5 linked regions of the Cricetulus griseus genome follow. The protein of the gene in region 2 binds, or shares a complex with, the protein of the main gene of each other region. Links are inferred from orthologs where the notes say so. Each region holds a gene or a part of one and is shown on either strand. Other genes may lie near its edges.

Evidence for each region.
Region 1: Cacng1 (region 2) and Cacnb3 share a complex: the UniProt entries of both Homo sapiens proteins name them as parts of the calcium channel complex. The link is inferred for Cricetulus griseus from reciprocal best matches to the Homo sapiens genes CACNG1 and CACNB3.
Region 3: Cacng1 (region 2) and Cacnb1 share a complex: the UniProt entries of both Homo sapiens proteins name them as parts of the calcium channel complex. The link is inferred for Cricetulus griseus from reciprocal best matches to the Homo sapiens genes CACNG1 and CACNB1.
Region 4: Cacng1 (region 2) and Cacna1c share a complex: the UniProt entries of both Homo sapiens proteins name them as parts of the calcium channel complex. The link is inferred for Cricetulus griseus from reciprocal best matches to the Homo sapiens genes CACNG1 and CACNA1C.
Region 5: Cacng1 (region 2) and Cacnb2 share a complex: the UniProt entries of both Homo sapiens proteins name them as parts of the calcium channel complex. The link is inferred for Cricetulus griseus from reciprocal best matches to the Homo sapiens genes CACNG1 and CACNB2.

Annotation. Positions count from the first base shown.
Region 1 is NC_048595.1:395,121,447-395,124,576, forward strand, and holds the end of Cacnb3 (voltage-dependent L-type calcium channel subunit beta-3), read left to right. Parts: coding exon 1-64; intron 65-235; coding exon 236-387; intron 388-626; coding exon 627-722; intron 723-814; coding exon 815-964; intron 965-1,360; coding exon 1,361-1,675; 3' UTR 1,676-2,623; downstream 2,624-3,130. UniProt on the Homo sapiens protein: Regulatory subunit of the voltage-gated calcium channel that gives rise to L-type calcium currents. Increases CACNA1B peak calcium current and shifts the voltage dependencies of channel activation and inactivation.
Region 2 is NC_048600.1:120,670,493-120,673,274, reverse strand, and holds the end of Cacng1 (voltage-dependent calcium channel gamma-1 subunit), read left to right. Parts: intron 1-1,308; coding exon 1,309-1,446; intron 1,447-2,047; coding exon 2,048-2,274; downstream 2,275-2,782. UniProt on the Homo sapiens protein: Regulatory subunit of the voltage-gated calcium channel that gives rise to L-type calcium currents in skeletal muscle. Regulates channel inactivation kinetics.
Region 3 is NC_048600.1:111,151,355-111,155,349, reverse strand, and holds the start of Cacnb1 (voltage-dependent L-type calcium channel subunit beta-1), read left to right. Parts: upstream 1-1,194; coding exon 1,195-1,278; intron 1,279-3,789; coding exon 3,790-3,876; intron 3,877-3,995. UniProt on the Homo sapiens protein: Regulatory subunit of L-type calcium channels. Regulates the activity of L-type calcium channels that contain CACNA1A as pore-forming subunit.
Region 4 is NC_048601.1:26,325,579-26,329,095, forward strand, and holds part of Cacna1c (voltage-dependent L-type calcium channel subunit alpha-1C), read left to right. Parts: intron 1-1,109; coding exon 1,110-1,445; intron 1,446-3,108; coding exon 3,109-3,411; 3' UTR 3,412-3,517. UniProt on the Homo sapiens protein: Pore-forming, alpha-1C subunit of the voltage-gated calcium channel that gives rise to L-type calcium currents. Mediates influx of calcium ions into the cytoplasm, and thereby triggers calcium release from the sarcoplasm.
Region 5 is NC_048596.1:218,168,530-218,172,589, reverse strand, and holds the start of Cacnb2 (voltage-dependent L-type calcium channel subunit beta-2), read left to right. Parts: upstream 1-1,245; coding exon 1,246-1,353; intron 1,354-4,060. UniProt on the Homo sapiens protein: Beta subunit of voltage-dependent calcium channels which contributes to the function of the calcium channel by increasing peak calcium current. Plays a role in shifting voltage dependencies of activation and inactivation of the channel.

The sequences.
Region 1 (3,130 bases), on a different chromosome or scaffold from region 2:
TCTGTGCTCAACAACCCTGGCAAAAGGACCATTATCGAGCGTTCCTCTGCCCGCTCCAGCATTGGTGAGGACTCTTGTTCCCACTTCTAGTCAGGATGTCTCCCTTCCTTTCTTCCCCCGCCTGCCCCAGGGCTGCCCTCTTGCCCGGCCCACTTCCAGCCCACCATATAGCAACCCTCAAAGCCCTGAATTAAGCAGTGGGCAGAACCCCTGGTGAGCTGCTCCCCTTCCTCAGCTGAAGTGCAGAGTGAGATTGAGCGCATTTTCGAGCTGGCCAAATCCCTGCAGCTAGTGGTGTTGGATGCTGATACGATCAACCACCCAGCACAGCTAGCCAAGACCTCGCTGGCCCCCATCATCGTCTTTGTCAAAGTATCCTCACCAAAGGTAAGTGAAACTGGAGTGAATTGGGGTCCCACAGAAGATGCCCCCTAGAAAATAGTGCACTTCTGCTTGGGCCCTACCTGGAGTGACCATTTCCTTTGCGCCCTTAACACCACACTGAGTCATCCTCACCTGCTACTTACTAATGTCGTACGGCAAGTTGGGTATGTGCCTAGTTCCTTCCAGGCCCAGCTCTGCCCAAGTCCCATGAGACTCTAGCCTATCTCTGCCCTCCTACTCAGGTACTCCAGCGACTCATCCGCTCCCGAGGGAAGTCACAGATGAAGCACCTGACTGTACAGATGATGGCATATGACAAGCTGGTTCAGTGCCCCCCGGTGAGTGCCTGGGTCAGCAGCACCTATTCCAGGGTGCAGGAGCTGCGGGGCTGCTGCTGAGGAGCCAACCTCCCTGTCTCCTTCCTCTCCAGGAGTCCTTTGATGTGATTCTGGATGAGAACCAACTGGAGGACGCCTGTGAGCACCTGGCTGAGTATCTAGAGGTTTACTGGCGAGCTACCCACCATCCAGCACCTGGCCCTGGACTTCTGGGTCCTCCTAGTGCCATCCCTGGACTTCAGGTAACCCTTTCCCGTGGTCACAAATGTGCAGGCTTATGCAAGGGATTGCTGAGCTGTCAGCTCTGCTTCAGCTTGCTCTACAGACCCAGGGCATGGAGGTCAAGAACTTCCTGATTGAAGAGCAGTGAATGAGATGGGCCTTCCAGGGTCAAAGGAAACATTCTCTCCACACCTTTCTCCCAGTCACTTTTTCAGGGAGAGCCTAAGTTTGCAGGAGCCCAGACTCCAGCTTTATCTGGCCCAGAAGAATGTCCCAGCTTACTTCTTCCTTGCACTATATAAAACAAAACCTGGGAATTGAGAATAGAGGGGGAAGAACCCCACCTCCCTGCCAGAGTCCTAGGATCAAAGGCCAGGTCTGCCTCACCTTACTCAGAGCTATTGTGTGGCCCCCAGAACCAGCAGCTGCTGGGGGAGCGAGGTGAGGAGCATTCACCCCTGGAACGGGACAGCTTGATGCCCTCAGATGAGGCCAGTGAGAGCTCCCGCCAGGCCTGGACGGGATCTTCACAGCGCAGCTCCCGCCATCTGGAGGAGGACTATGCAGATGCCTACCAGGGCCTGTACCAGCCTCACCGCCAACACACCTCGGGGCTGCCCAGTGCTAATGGGCACGACCCCCAAGACCGGCTCCTAGCCCAGGACTCGGAGCACGATCACAATGACCGGAACTGGCAGCGTAACCGGCCTTGGCCTAAGGATAGCTACTGACCACCTCCTGCCCTACCCTGGCAGGCACAGGCACAGCGGCTGGGGTAACCACCTCAAGCAGGTTGGAGTTAAACTGGCATTAGGCTGCCACTAGGTTCAGCTCCCACAACCCCCTGCCCAGCCCCTGGTCCAGGGCTGACTGTGGTCCCAAGGTTCTGGGAGAAGCAAGGGGCCCCCTCACCTCCTGGGCACAGTGACCCCGTAGGTTCTCATCCCAGGTACTAGCTGTGATCTGCATCCTCGGCACCTTCCTCACCTGCACAAGAAGCTGCCCCAGTGGGCAATGATCTCAGGCCAGGATCACTTAGCGGGGAACTTCCAACCAGAATGGATGCCCCTCTAATAACAGGAGAGTGGAAGTAATGGCAATATAATCTAAGCCCTAACAAGGTACTCCACTCACCTCACTGCCACACATCAGAAATGAAACAATCAGAGCTCAACATGGTGGCACTCATGTACCATCAGCTGGGGTGGGCATTTACACCTAAGACAGGAGCAGTGTAGGTGAGGCTGGACAGACAACTCACAGCGGAAGCTCTGGTAGAAAAAGGCCCTCCTCTCCAAACCAGGAAGCTTAGCATCTGGCAAGACTAGGGAACTGGAGCATGGTGAAGCCAGAAGCCAGCCTGGACTGCGGGGGAGGGAGGAACAGCTTCCGGCCCCTTGCCTTTCTCATTCATTTGCCCTTGCATCTGTCATTTCTGTTCTTTTCCCTCCATGCCTCCTGCAAGATCAGGGCTCCCTGACTCATAGCTGCCGCTTGTTAAGTTAGGGTTAGAGAGGATATTAGGACACAGTGGATGGCCCCCAGAGGCTGTCTGCCTGGCTACCCTTGCCTTATGGCTCTAGCGTGTGACCCACAGAGCATGCTCCATCGAGAACCTGCCCCACCTCATTGTCATCTCCAATAAAACACCATGCACAGTCCCTTGCATGTCTCTGGTATGTTGGCTTGTGTGGCTCTATATTACTGTGTGGCCTAAGTCTGCAGAGTTGAAGTATTCTGGCCCCTTCTCTCCAAGGATTCCTGGGAAGGGGAAACAGCAACTGCAAGAGGCACTGTATTTGTGGGCACACCACACCCCAAGCCCGATGTCTGGAGGGAGGGAGGTAGCAGTACAGAAGAGACTTGCTCTGAGAAGTGAGGAAGCATCCTAGTCAAAGCTTCCTACTGCCCCCGCCTCAGGCCAGAGGGCTCCACAAGTAGCTACAACTTGAATTCACATGCTTGCCTACCTTTGAGGGGCAAAGAAAGTATTTGCCTGAAATGGAGGGCAGGGCTCTGTGGTCCTCTTCAGACCTAACTCAGCTGAACCAGCCCTTGAGACCGCAAATGCTGACTCTTCTATCACTGCCATCTTACCATGAGCAAGGGAAACCAGGATCAGGCACAGGGTGGCTGAAGTGTGGCTCCAGGTATCCTGGACAAAGCCCCAAGTTACAGAGAAAAGA
Region 2 (2,782 bases):
CAAGCAGTTCTGGGTCCAGGTACTCAGAGGACACTTGTTGGTGTAAGGGACAGTGAATTCCACAGACTTGCTGGCAGGCTGTAAGCTGCAGCAGGAACATATTCCATCCAGCAGAGCCAGAGGGCTAAGAAAGTGGTACAGGTTCTCACAGTGCTGGAGCAGGGTCATCGGGTGGGTGGGTGAGACGCTCAGTGGGGACAGTGGCAGTCCTGCCTACACTTACTAACAGCCCTCCGAGCTGAGGAAACATGGTATTCCTGCCCTTCATCAAGAGAACTCAGAGATTTCATCAGCAAGAAGAGCCTGGGCTGTGTGGGAGCAGGTGGTTACACAGTGTACAAGAGCTGACAAAGACACACTCATGCACACGCTAGGAAATCCTCACGTGTAGTCACGTGCACACACCAACAGATTCTCAGGCACAGGGCACACACACACACACTGAGAATCTTAGTACGGGGAACACTTATGCATGCATGCCTGCACACACAGGCCAACAGGGCCTCATGCATGGGGCACACATAAACACTGAGAGCCTTGGTACAGGGAACAATCACACGTGCATGCATATACCATCAGATCCTCATGCATGAAGAATGCATACACATTGAGAGCCAAATGGAAGGAACGCACACACTTGTATGCACACACAGACAGATCCTCATTTGTGAGGTATATATAAGTGCTGGCAGCCTCATGAGCAAGGCACACGTGTGTGCTTCCACATATGCTGATATTCTCTCTCTCTTTCTCTCTCTCTCTCTCTCTCTCTCTCTCTCTCTCTCTCTCTCTCTCTCTCTCTCTCTCACACACACACACACACACACACACACACACACACACACACGATTCTCCCATGCAGACATGGCACATACTCTGATGGATTCTTAGGCAACCCACACACGTCCTCACACTCACATGCTAGGTAACACCCACACGCTGTCAATCTCCCAGAGTTCCCTTGTCAATCTAAGACAGACCACCTACAGCTCAGTGCCTCCTTCTGCCTGTCACTCAGGAAGGCTTTGGCTCTAGGAAAGTCTCTAGCCACAGGGTGTCCTGCCTCCTTCTGAGGCCTTTGCCTCAGGGAACTTTGCAGTTTAGCGCCCTGGAAAGACACAGGTGAATCCATCCTATTAGCATCTGGCCTCACTCTTCCGCAGCAGCACCTGACTTGGAAGGAGTAAGAAAGTGAGCGAGCCTTAGTCAGGTGTGAAATGGGAATCTAGGCTGTGGGAGCTCACTAAGCAACCTGACGGTGTGAAACGCCTGGAAGGCTCTGGTTCTGAGGCTGCCTCTGTTTTGCAGAGTACAGCATCTCAGCAGCGGCCATCTCCATCTTCAGCCTCGGTTTCATCATTGTGGGCTCCATCTGCGCATTTCTGTCCTTCGGGAATAAGCGTGATTATCTGCTGAGGCCAGCATCCATGTTCTATGCCTTTGCAGGTAGACTGGGGTCCTGCAGTGTCTGGGTGGGAGGGGACTCCCTAGGGCTGCCCACTCCTTAGTGCTCCCCACTCCTTAGTGCTCCCCACTCCCTAGTGCTCCCCACTCCCTAGTGCTCCCCACTCCCTAGTGCTCCCCACTCCCTAGTGCTCCCCACTCCTTAGTGCTCCCCACTCCTTAGTGCTCCCCACTCCCTAGTGTACCCCACTCCCTAGGGCTCCACACTCCACACTCAGGCTCCACACAGGAACAAACTCAGAACCCTGGTGACCCCAGGAAGGCTACAAGGGAGAAAGCTTGCTTTGTTCCCTTTGCCCCACAATGTACCCTTAGGAGGAACACTGAGAAGCCTCCCCAGAGAGTAATTAAAAAAAGAAGGAAGGAAATGTGGCCAGTCTCTGGCTAACCCCCTGCAGGATGTGAGAACTGCATAGTGGGAATTGGTAGGTAGGCATGGATCATTTTTGCAGAAACCACATTAGAACCATCTAGAAGCATTTTTCTCTCAGGACCAGCTCAAAGTCAGGGAACAGAGGTTGGGGGAGGATTGGAGTGGCAGCAGGAGCACCGTCAGTCACTGAGACTCTTGGATTTGTCCCAGGGCTCTGCCTCATTGTCGCTGTGGAGGTCATGAGGCAATCGGTGAAGCGTATGATTGACAGTGAGGACACCGTCTGGATCGAGTACCACTACTCATGGTCCTTCGCCTGCGCCTGTGCTGCCTTCACCCTGCTCTTCCTCGGTGGGCTGCTCCTCCTGCTCTTCTCCCTGCCACGGATGCCCCAGAACCCCTGGGAGTCCTGCATGGACGCTGAGCAGGAACACTAGCTTTGGGAAGATCAAGCCCAGACAAGAGTCTTTTGGAGGCAAGGAGGAAGTTTTCACATTTACCCTGAGCCCTTGTCTATCATGCTCTGTCCTCTCCCTCTGAGTTCCTCTACAAACAGTACACATGGACATGAACTCAAACCTGCCCAGGGTCAGAGGAAGCAGGCAGGCGAGAATCTGAAGGGCCCTCTCTCTTAGGCCTACCCAGCTCAGGCTCGCCCACCATGGCTGCTGTTTGAAGAACTGGTCTGGTCATCTTTAGAAACCTTCCAAAAACAGCCTGTACTCATTCACCAGTTCTGAGCTTCGCCAGCTCCTCCCCCACTCTTCTCCACCACCATATGAAAACCTTTTCCATGATCTGAACATCCTTCCTTGGCTTCCAGGATCCCCAACAGACATTTTTTAACTGGATAGAATCTGTGGTTTGAAATAAAAGATCTCAGAAACTTCCCTTTTTCCTTTGTGCCTTGCATAGCAATTGCTAAGATTCCTGGCACCCTAAACC
Region 3 (3,995 bases), about 9.5 Mb from region 2:
AAGCACCAAAGTGCCAGCAACACCATTTATAGGAAAGGAAACTGAAGCACGGAGAATGACTTGTTTGTTCGAGACAGGGTCTCTCTGTGTAGTCCTGGCTGTCCTGGAGCTTGTTATGGAGACCAGGCTGGCCTCAAACTCACAGAAATCCTCCTGCCTCTGCCTTCCCTGTGCTGGGATTAAAGGCAGGCTATACCCCACAACCAGAAAGAGCCTGAGCCCAATTAATGTCGAGTTGCTAGGATCCTATTCCTCGCCACAGACCTGGGACATTTGTTCCTCAGTCAAGGGTAAAGGAAGGACAATCCTAGGTCAACGTTCACGGCATCTGATTTTGAATAGTCTTTCTCCTTCTCTCATCTTCATACTTCCTTCTGTTTCCTCTCTGTTCTAAGCAACAGGGGGACCTTAGTAACTGATGAGGCAGAAGCACTCTTGGGTCCCTGGACAGCATTCCTATTGTCCCTACTGGCCTCTCCCTTTGGACACTCAAACCATCCTCAGCCCCAAGCCAACAGCACTAGAGCCAGGCTGGAGAGGGAGGTCTACTCTGCTGGTTTCATGGCGGCCTTGTTCTCACACTGGGGAGAAAGGAGTTAAAGCTAGGTCCCAGGATCACCGGGACCGGGAAGTTCCGGTGGCCCAAGCAGGAGTCAGTCAGGGAGACCCGCTGGGAGAGTAGTTTGGGACAGAAAGGGAGGTAGTGCCAGCCGGGCCAACCTGCGCTTCAGCGTTTGGTACTCATTGGTAAACGCCCCCACCTCCACCCCAGCCTCAAGGCCGGTTTCCCCTTGGTCCCCTACAGGCTGCCATCAACCTAGGCTAATCGGATGACAGTGGTCAAGCCCCTCTGGGATCAGGAGGCTAGCTGGGCTCCGCCACCCGGCCATTGTCTGCGCGCAACCCGTGGAGGGGCTCGAGGGGCGGGGCCGCGGCGCGGGGCGGGAGCGAGGGAGGGGCGGGGGGAGATGCTGAGCCTTCAGGGGCGGAGGCAGCGGCGGAGACGGCCGCAGAGACCAGAGCGCGAGCCGGGAGGGCGGCAAGGCGGCGAGCGTGCAGCTCGAGGTCGGGCTGGGCGACTGCACCCGGTGCTGGCTGCGCGACGCCGCGCTGCTCTCAGCTCAGACGGCCTCTCCTATGCGCTGAGAGCGCCCGGCTGGGCCGGGCGGGCGGCCGGACGGGAGGATCCTCTCCATGGTCCAGAAGAGCGGAATGTCCCGGGGCCCTTACCCACCTTCCCAGGAGATCCCTATGGAGGTCTTCGACCCCAGCCCACAGGTGAGGGGAGGTGCCGGGCTCGAGGGAAAGGGACCGCTCCTGCGGACCTTGGGATTGGCTCGAGAAGCTCCGGGAAGGAAAGGGTTATATGCCCCGGTGGGTGGGAGAGGGGTATCTGCGCGACCCCCTATTCTCAAGGGTTAATGATCGATTGACTATTGGTCGGAGTTGGGCTGCGGTCCTGCGGAGCGGAGAGGGGGTGGGTCGGATGCCTGTCAGCCTCGCCTCCAGGTCTCTCCGGCGTCCAGGTCCCTGCTGCTGGGGTACAGGCTCCGGCAGGCTGACACGGGGTTGGTGATGGGGGGGTGGGGGAAATCCAGGCCTTGAGAAGAGGAGTTGGAGGGAAGCTGGAGAGCGAATCAGGCGAGGGGGGCGACGCAGAGCACGTTTGGGGGCGCTAGCGGGTGTGGGTGGGGTGGGGGTAGTACTGGGAGACGGCAGAAACGATGGTCAGAGGGCGTTGACAACAGGCCTTCGAAGGCTCAGACACTGGCTTTCGAAGGTGGAGAAGGCATCAGCCCTGGGAGGCCCTTGCCTAGTCACCTGGCCTCCATCCCTCCCTTGGATGTTTCCCTCCCCCCAACACCCACATTGGCTTACCCCTCCCCCTGCCCCAAGGGGTGGGAGCCTCCGAAGTTTGGAAAGTTGGATGGGTGCCAACTCACTGTCTTGGAGGGGAGGAAGCTGTTTTACCTGGGGGAGGGGCTCTGCCTTTTCCCCCCTCTCACTTTTTCTATGGTCCCTGGGTTACCCCCAGGTAGGGGCATTCTTGTACATAGAAAGTCCCCAAAGAATGACCAGGAGGGTATGTGGTGGCCATGCCAGGGGATTTTTCTCAGACTTGTCCTTCTCCAAGGATAGCATTAACTCTTGCATTGCTGTGGCCAGAGTGGAGCAACTGTAAGCACCAGGATGTGATTGAAGGGTGTGTTTGGGGGGAGTCAGGTCAGACCTAAAAATACCTCATTCCTCCACCCCAGGCCCCTTGCAGCCTGGGAAGCAGCTGACTGATGCCTTCCTTTCAGCTGTCCCCTGTCCCTCTGAAGGCCACTCCCTTTGCTCAGCTGGGTTAGGGTAGTGGTGTGTAAGAATATGAGGTTCACTAGGGGATCCTCTTAGGTTTGTAGGGCGACCCAAAACTAGGTTGGCCGTAAGTCCACTTTGAAAGAAGAAGGAGAGAGGATCATGGAAGAGCGTGTGTGTGTGTGTGTGTGTGTGTGTGTGTGTGTGTGTGTGTGTGTGTGTGTGTTAGGATCTTATGTACTCTAGGTTGGCTTTGAACCTACTGATCCTCCTGCCTCTACCTTGGAAGTGTGGAGATTACAGTGTGGGGATTACTATGCCTGGCTATCCAGCCTCCTTGTTACCAGGTCTCAGGAGCCAGAGCTGCAGTGTGGTTGAGGCTCCTCTAGGGTCTTTGGTCAAAGAAAGTCTGGGGGCAGGGGCTCTTGGATGGACATTCTGCCCATTCGTACTGGGCAAGGGCCAAGTGTGTGTGTGTGGGGGGGGAGTGAGAGAGAGCAAAGAAGCAGCTCACTTGTAGGAAGCATAGAGATTCGTGAAGCCTTGGTCCATACCTTTGGCCTCTGAGAGGTCAGGCAGGAACCCCCCACCCCAGTAAGAGTCCAGTAAGATTGATTGATTAGCCATCTTACCTGGGACTGGCAGGACTATGTTCCAGTCTCAGCTTGGGGTGGGGCCAAAGTGGCCTTTTGATTGATGGGCAGGGTTAGTACTGTGGGGAGGGGGCATGGGCCGAAGCAGCTGGGGTGGAAGTAGGGTGGATCCTACCTTGGGGAGGAATATAAACCCTGATGAGGAGGAGGGAGGCTGAGGAAGGTCCTGGTAGGCTGGAGGTGAGAGTGAGAAGCAGAACCTACTCCCCAGGCACCAGGCCACAGGTTGATGTTTACTTTCTGAGCCTCCTTCCTCTTCCTTCCCCAGAAATGTGGCTTTGGGTCCTCACGAGCTGAGAGTGTCTTACCCTCCCTACTCTGGAAAGCAGAAAGCACAAGAGTTGGACTCAGGGGAGGAACTGAGCCTGGCCCTGGGTTGCCTTCCCTCCTCTCTCTGGGGGCACAGCGTGCTCTGCCCCCTCAGCTCCAGATGCAGGGGAGAGGACATCCCCCTCTCTTCCTCCACCCCCAGCACTGCAGGCAGCCTCTCCCTTCCCCCGAGGCTGCTGCAGCCTGCCCAGCATCTTAATTAGCTTTGCTGTCTAATGAACCTCCCATTTCTCAGGCCCTTTGCTTCCCAGCCTTCGGCTTGATTTGGGGATCCCTGTGTGTGCCGCCCAGGCTCTCTTGCACGGTTCTTCCCGGTGGCTGTTGTCTGGTGTCAGTGAGGTGGAAGACCCTTTTTCCTTTCAGGCTGGCCACCTCTAGAAGGAGAGGAGAGGGGTGAGGCAGAGCAGAGTGTCCCGGGGCTAGGCCCTTAGCACAAGCCCCTGTAGGAGGAGAACTGGGAAAGGGTCTTTCTGATTTCACTCTTGTTCCTTCCCCACCTCTCCAGGGCAAATACAGCAAGAGAAAAGGGCGGTTCAAAAGATCTGATGGGAGTACATCCTCGGATACAACATCCAACAGTTTTGTCCGCCAGGTAACTGGGGATGATGGCTTGGGAGGAGATGCAGCTGGTTGGTGCAGGCTGGCCTGCGACTTACTCCAGGCACCCCATCTCATATCGTTTGTCACCTGCCTGGAACCACCACAACACTC
Region 4 (3,517 bases), on a different chromosome or scaffold from region 2:
TGTGTGTGTGTGTGTGTGCATGTGATTATATGTGTGTATACATATGTGTGGGTATGTTAGTACTTGTGTGCATGTGTTTGTGTGTGTGAGCACAAGCATACAAATGTGTTTTATAAACTGATACAACTTTAACTCAAAGGCCAAAACCCTGTCTAAATGGGGATTACTGTCATGATACTGTCATTGTTCCAACATAATGAACATAGCTTTATGCTTCCCTTACATTTCCAGGTGCCCAGAAGCTGGGGACTCCATGAGTTGGGGAGAGGGAAGGAAAGCAGGATATAGGGACACTATATGGTCTATTTTAAAAGCTTCCTCCAAGTTGGTTTTGTCCATGTGCCCTTGTGCCCATTGGTGGAAAATGAGGTTTCTCTTTGTGTCCTTCTGCCACCTCCAACCTGTTCTCTCTGTCTCCCAGAGATGAACAGTCCCACCACACAGTGTCATTCTTTTCAACAAACACATCCCATCTGAGCAGTGGACAGTGCCAGAGAGTCACAGTGACAGTGGGGATGCAGGGTTACCCTCAGGATTCTCTGGAGCATTTGGGGATGGAGAAGACAGACATGGGAATCGTTAATCAGTCTAATGTTAAACAGGAGTCAAAACACCCTGCTTGAGATTGACAGGGCGTTATCAGTGGGCCTATTTCATGGTAAAAGTTCAAATAATGATGTTATGACTACTGGTTTTGTCTAGGTCTTAATGATAGACACTATACCTCAAAAACCTTATTTCACACTGGCCTTTAGGTCGGTGCATTGAGAGGGCACTGGCGAATTCTGGCTCTGTGAAGAACACATCATCATTGTCCTCTCTGCTCTAATGGGAAAGCCAGAGTGACTGAATCCAGAGAATATGGGTGGCAGAGTCTACACAGTGGATGATCAGGATTGCACTCAGTTGTAAGGTCCTGAAGCTAGAGGGAAATGCATCATGTCAAAGGAAACGCTCACTAAAATATTTCCTATACCAAGTCTCAGTGAGGTAGACGGGATTTGAGCTTCGAGAATTTTAGACAGAACTCACTGGGAAATATTAGCTTCAAAGTTACTCCGAAGGCAGAGGGCTGACCCTCCTAGTAACTCCTTTTCTTGTGTCCACAGGCATTGGCAGTGGCAGGTTTGAGTCCCCTCCTGCAGAGAAGCCATTCTCCTACCAAGATCCCCAGGGCATGCCCCACACCCCCTGTCACCCCTGGCAGCCGGGGCAGGCCCCTACAGCCCATCCCCACCCTACGACTGGAGGGGGCTGAGTCCAGCGAGAAACTCAACAGCAGCTTCCCATCCATCCCCTGCAGCTCCTGGTCTGACGAGACCACTGCCTGTAGTGGGGGCAGCAGCATGGCTCGGAGAGCCCGGCCTGTCTCCCTCACCGTGCCCAGCCAGGCTGGAGCTCCGGGGAGACAGTTCCATGGCAGTGCCAGCAGCCTGGTGGAAGCGGTATGTGAATTTGAACTCCTGGGGAGGGAGAGACTCCAGAAAACAAGAGACTTTTGTGCAGATGTGGAATCCTGGCTCCTTCCCAAGTAGACTAGGTGTCAAGTGTGTAAACTAGGGAACTGCTGAAGGAAGGCCTGGCCTGCAGAAAATCACAACCATGACTATACAAGTTGATAGCCACTGGGTGTAATGAACAGGGAGAAAGTCCTTAGTAAAGCACGGGGCCAGTGAACCCAAGAAAGGCCCTGCTGCCTCCCAGTGTTCACGCATGCTGGGACTTGTTCCTACAAAGAGGGCCAGGGTTCAGTGTGCTCAACTCTCACTGCTCAGGAGAACAGCTCCCCAGAGCTTTAGAAGCTTGCCAGAGGAAACAGGCGTTGTCAGGGCTCCCAGTGACTCTAACGCATGAGTGGCCAAGTATAAGATGGAATTTTTTTCTCCTTGGCTTCTGTTCCTCCTTTAGAGAGTTCAGTGTCACAAGTCCTCTGCCCCGAGGAGCATCGATTCCAACCCTAGCATCTCATTTTTGGAGCCTTTGACAAACTGAAACAAACCCCAACGAGTGTGGCAAGGTCCTTAGAAACCATCTCCTAGGAGAACCGGTGGAGGGGAGACCTTGCCAACACAGCTGTCCCCACTAAGAGGACTGTAAGGGAGTCAGTCTCTGCCATCAAGCTGTGGCTGCGTCTGTCCTGTGGTCAGATGGACCTGGGAGTGGAGTTCAGTCAAGTAACTCTGGTCCTTCCAACTCGGAAAGGCTAAGTCTTCGCTTGAGCTTGCTTGTTCTTGCTCATCTCAAGTCCCAGAGACTCTTACTAGGTGCAGAGACTCAGGTGTAGTGAGACCTCTGGGAAAATGGGTTTTAGCTCTCTGTGAGCTCCCACTGTGGTGGTGAGGGCAAACAGGTGAAAAAATAAGCATGCTAGGGCTGGAACAGGCGGGGTAGCAGTAGAAAAGTCAGGCAAGGTGAGGAGAGAGTGACTCGGGCAGAGGGGGAGGAACAGGGGCGAGGGAGAAAAAGACCCGCCCTGCCTGCCATATTCTACCCCTTAGCTCAGAGACTTCGGAGTCTTCCTTCAGCAGTCGCTAAAGCAGCCAGCAGGAAGGGTGGGCACATGCTCCCAAACAAAAGCAGACCATGCATCCGACACAAGGAGCCCTGGAGTTGCAGACAGCTGGCCGGGGTGGGGGCAGTGGTTATCACCAAATGAAAGTGAAGGCTTCTTGGAAACGACAACGTGAAAGATGGCTTGGGGGCCAGAGAGGAGAAAAGAAAAGGAGGCAGGCTGTGATCTGCCTGCGGAAAAGCAGAGGGGAGTCCGCACACAGCTCCTCTGCAAGTTCCTCCTCGTTTTGTTTGAACCCGCCTGCCTAAAGCTCCCTCCTCTGATCTGTGCACGCCCACTTCCTTTGATCCATACCCCATCTCTACTCTCCAGTGAGTGTCCCTCTTAGCACACAAATACAGACACACAAACACGCATACACACCCCCCACATACACACATGCATGCATCCATGCATCCGTACACACACACACACACGGCACATGTTATGTACACACACAGATGCTTTGCTTCTCAGCAGCCTGCCGCTTCATCCTTAGGGAACTTTGAACTCCAGTGACCACGCCCCTCTTCTGTCTTCTTGCCCCGCCTTTTCAGGTCTTGATTTCAGAAGGACTGGGACAGTTTGCTCAAGATCCCAAGTTCATCGAGGTCACCACCCAGGAGTTGGCCGACGCCTGTGACATGACGATAGAGGAGATGGAGAATGCGGCAGACAACATCCTCAGTGGGGGCGCCCAGCAGAGCCCCAACGGCACCCTCTTACCTTTTGTGAACTGCAGGGACCCGGGGCAGGACAGGGCTGTGGTCCCAGAGGACGAGAGCTGCGCATATGCCCTGGGGCGAGGCCGGAGCGAGGAGGCGCTCCCGGACAGCAGGGCCTACGTCAGCAACCTGTAGTCCACGGGGCTGGCGAGACGCGGGTGTTTTTTATTCGTTTCAATGTTCCTAATGGGTTCGTTTCAGAAGTGCCTCACTGTTCTCGTGACCTGGAGGTAACCGGAAC
Region 5 (4,060 bases), on a different chromosome or scaffold from region 2:
ATCTCAGTTACCCTTAAGATAAGTGGGTACTTTATTTCATCACCATAGTCAAACACAGTATAAAAAGTTTACCTTAGTAAAAGGTCCTCCTATGTATTGCAGCCTGCACAAATGTTATGTTGTGTTGCTACAAAATGATTGACACCTAGGAAATTTGTATGTAGATTTCCAGTGCAGAGAGCAGTAAAGTTTGTCAGAGCCGAACCACCTTACAAAGCGAAAAGCTGTCAATATTAGAATGGAAAATTACTCTTCTTTCTCCCTCCTCCTCCTTTTCTTTGTTTTTAAATCGAAAATTCGTACAATATATTCCATTTATAGTCCTTCTCTTCCATCTCCTCCCTAACTCCCCATCCATCCAACACTAAACATGCTGGCTTTAGCCACTTGTCAAACATTTCAAGGTCTTTAAAACCGTGCAACCCCTCTTTTTGTCTCAAGGGTCACATTAAGACTTCTCAACCATGTGTGTGTGTGTGGGGGGGGGGGGATCCAGTCTGCTAGCAAAGAAGTGCTACTAGCAAAGACAACAGAAACAAAACAGGTCATCACAAAGCGAAAAGCTAGGGCACAGGTGTCATGGGTTTGAGCCAATTGTCAGATCAGGATCATGTGGGAGGAAGCCTTAGTTCATCAACAGCACTTGCTTTCTGCCTCAAGTGCTGCTTTTTGCAGAGGCTCCGGAGTCTGTCTGCAGCTTTTTCTGAATCATAGAGACTGTCAATTTAGAGACCAACCCTGGGGATCTTTTCCCTCCCCTGGTCCCCGGGAAGAGGAGGTGAGTTGAGCGACTGGTCCTGTTACCTCCCCAGGGAGCCCCGGCTGGCTTTCGCGTCTTCAAAAACTTTCCAGCGCGAGTGCCACGGCGACGGGCTGCAGTTGAGTCGGAGCCCACGCCATCCGCGAGGAACTTTTCGGAGTGGCAGTGGCTTGTCACTCTCGCTTTCCGACGCGCCTCCCCCTGGCTCGCGCTCCCGGAGCGCCCTCCCTCCTGGCGGGGACCTTCCCGGGAGACCGCCCGCCCCGCAGTCCGCGTCTGGGCCGCTCGCTGGCCCCGAGGCCCCAAAGAGCGTGAGCCCCTCTCCTTGGCCACCCAGCCGCGTGCCCGCGCCGCTGCCTCTAGGCTTTGCAACATGCTCCAGCGGCGCCCCGCTCACTGAGAGCCGCCGATCATAGGGCGAAGAGGAGCGGGGGACCCGGGGCGTGGAGAAGGGGACTCGCCGCCTTGGAGCCGACTTTTCGCCGATGGTCCAAAGCGACACGTCCAAGTCGCCTCCCATAGCGGCGGTGGCGCAGGAGAGCCAGATGGAGCTGCTGGAGAGCGCGGCTCCCGCGGGGGCGCTCGGAGCACAGGTAGCCACAGCGCCGCGCCTTCTGCTGGCTTTGTGAGCCTCGGGGCTCCGACCTCAGTCCCTCCCGCCTCCTCCTCCTTTCCTGATCGCAGACCTCGCCTCCCCCTCTAGTTTGGGTCTGCTTCGCCACCTCCTCCCCCATCCCCGGGCTGACCCGGACCCTGCCCCTGCGCGCCTTCCCTGGCTCTGCTCGGCTTCCATTTTTTTTTTTTCCTCTTTGCTTTTTGAAAAGCCAGTGGGAAGGGGCGAGGACGACCTGCCGCTCCGCCCCGGCTTCTCCCGGGCCACGCCGCTCGGCGGTCCGCGCCCCTGCCAGGGAGAAGCACATGGAGAGCTATGGACCAGGCGAGCGGACTGGACCGGCTCAAGATCGTGAGTCCGGGCGGGAGGGAAAGGGTTCCGCATCCCGCAGCGCTGTTTCCGGCCACTGCCTCTGGTGGTCCTCCGCTAGGAGCTGGGCGGGGAGGTGGGATGCTCTGAGGGGTCGAGATGGGCGTGGAACCCCCCTGCCTTGTCCCCTGAGATCAGCCTCTACCCCCCCCCCTTGGCACCTGGGACTCTGTGCCACTCAGACAGTTCAGCTGTCCCCTGAACCTCCTTTTTCCTTTGCTTTAAGAAGAGAGCAGAGAGTTGGGGAGGAGAGAAAGTTTTTGTTTCTGTTTACCCTGAAATGGCAAGCCATTCTAGCCGCTCCTGGGTTCCCTTCTCTGATGAGTATTAGCGGTTTCTGGAAAAATTCTGTTCCGCTGTTCATTGTGAAATAGGAGATGTCGGTTGTAGGCGTTGGGTGTGATAAGGTAGCTTTTACGTAAGGCTTTGGCAGGTACAGTTGGTATTCCAGACACCCCCAGACCTGGGGTAAGGAGTCTCTCTCAACTTTTATTCTTGGGGCAAAGCCTTCCGGCCTGACACTTGGGTTAGTTGGAGAGTACTAGGAAGAGACTAGGGTGAGTCCAGGAGGGTGCTTCCCCGTTACTTAATGGCTTTGGCTTGCTGATTGCCACCCACATTTGCCAGGTTGTAAACTGTGATATGTGTGCACATAATTAACACATAACGTAAAATCTACAGGGGACGAGGGTTTACTCTGTAGTAGTGGGGCATTCTGAGAAAGGTCACAAATATGTATGTAGCTGCTGCTCTGGTAGTATTTCTGTACCATGACAATGGTAACCCATGTGTATAATTCAAGCTCCTTCGAACTCCCTCTGTGTGTTTCTGACTTTGCTTGGGAGCATGTTTGCGTGGGTGCTATTCATTCACATGTGTGTTCATGTGTGTGCAGGCCGAAAGGTTGTATTGCTGGGTCAAAGGGTTAGTTGCAGAAGGCCGGTGGGTTTTCTCCTTCAGCCATGTGGGTCTCAGGGTTTGAGTACAGGTCCTAGGGCTTCCTGCCTATTGCTGTTACTTGCTGAGCCATCTTGTTGACTCTTTATTGAGCTCTCTTTGACCACTGGAAACGGCATGTTCTAACTTAGAATGCACAATTTACACTGATTAGAGATAAAGAGAAAACATGGACGATATGGACTTGTAAATCAGAAATTCATTTCTTTTGTGGTGGTAAAGCAGGTAGGTAGGCTTCAGTCTGCCTGGCTGTTGGCTAACAAGCCTGGTGGGGGATCTGTAATTAACCAGCACTCTCACAGCCAGATTCTGCCAGGGGATCTGAATTTGAACCCACAGAGCTCACGTTTGTTTTAGGCTCCTGATTTTATCATGATACTTGCCAGCTGAGATGAGTTAAAAGATGTACTCAGAGACTTAGGTTGTGCAGGGATGAAGTGCTTGAAGATTGGGAGAGGAAGGTCGTTGTGATGTCTCTTCTCTTTGAAGTTTCTTTACGTAATTTGTTTTTCTTTTTTAAGAATTTTTTTTATTCTTGTCATAAAAATAGGAGTTTTGAAATTTTGGCAGTCAAAGTTAGGGTTGATAAATTAACAGAAAAAAGTAACTGTATTTAGGTGAGAGCACTAATTTACCTGATTATTTCTAATTAAATTCAAGGCAGCAAATACCCAGTATATAGCTGGGTATTAATTGGAATTAATCTAAATTGGAATTAATCTAAATTGGAATTAATCTAAAGTGGACAGGTAGAATTTTCTCCCTTCAAAGAATTTATACTCCTGTAGTTTCATGAGTGGCAAAGGAGACATTTGTGTCGGTGGGTCTTCTGGAGAATGCAGTAAAGGTCGTAAGTCTTGAGTTATCTTCAATATTTGACAAGGGAAGTGGCATTTGAAAGGGTGTGCTAGATTTCAACCCAAACTTTGAAAGACATAATGGGAGCCACATGTAAAGCTATTGTAGAAATTAGATGTCTCTATAGTGTGTACTTGTAATCTCTAGTGTGGAAAGCAGGGAAAGCGTTTGATTGGGTAATGCCAGGCATCAGGTTGGAAAGGCTATTTGAAGTCACATGTTGGAGACTTTGAATAACAGATCTGTGGAAAAGGTTCAGAGACGGAGCCACGTGACAGCTCACTGGCCAGATCCACAGAGAATGTTCTGAGAGTGCAGAGGCAGAGCTGCAAGAAAGGGGGTGGGGTTAATAGATATTCAACACTTTGGGCAAGGGCTAAAAATGTCTAAACTCGAAAGTGATGAAAAGATCATGGCTATGTTAGGTAAGCTTGTAATCATCAGACTTCTTAAACACCAAGCCAGGACTACACGGATATGGGATAGAGATTAAAAGAGGTAAT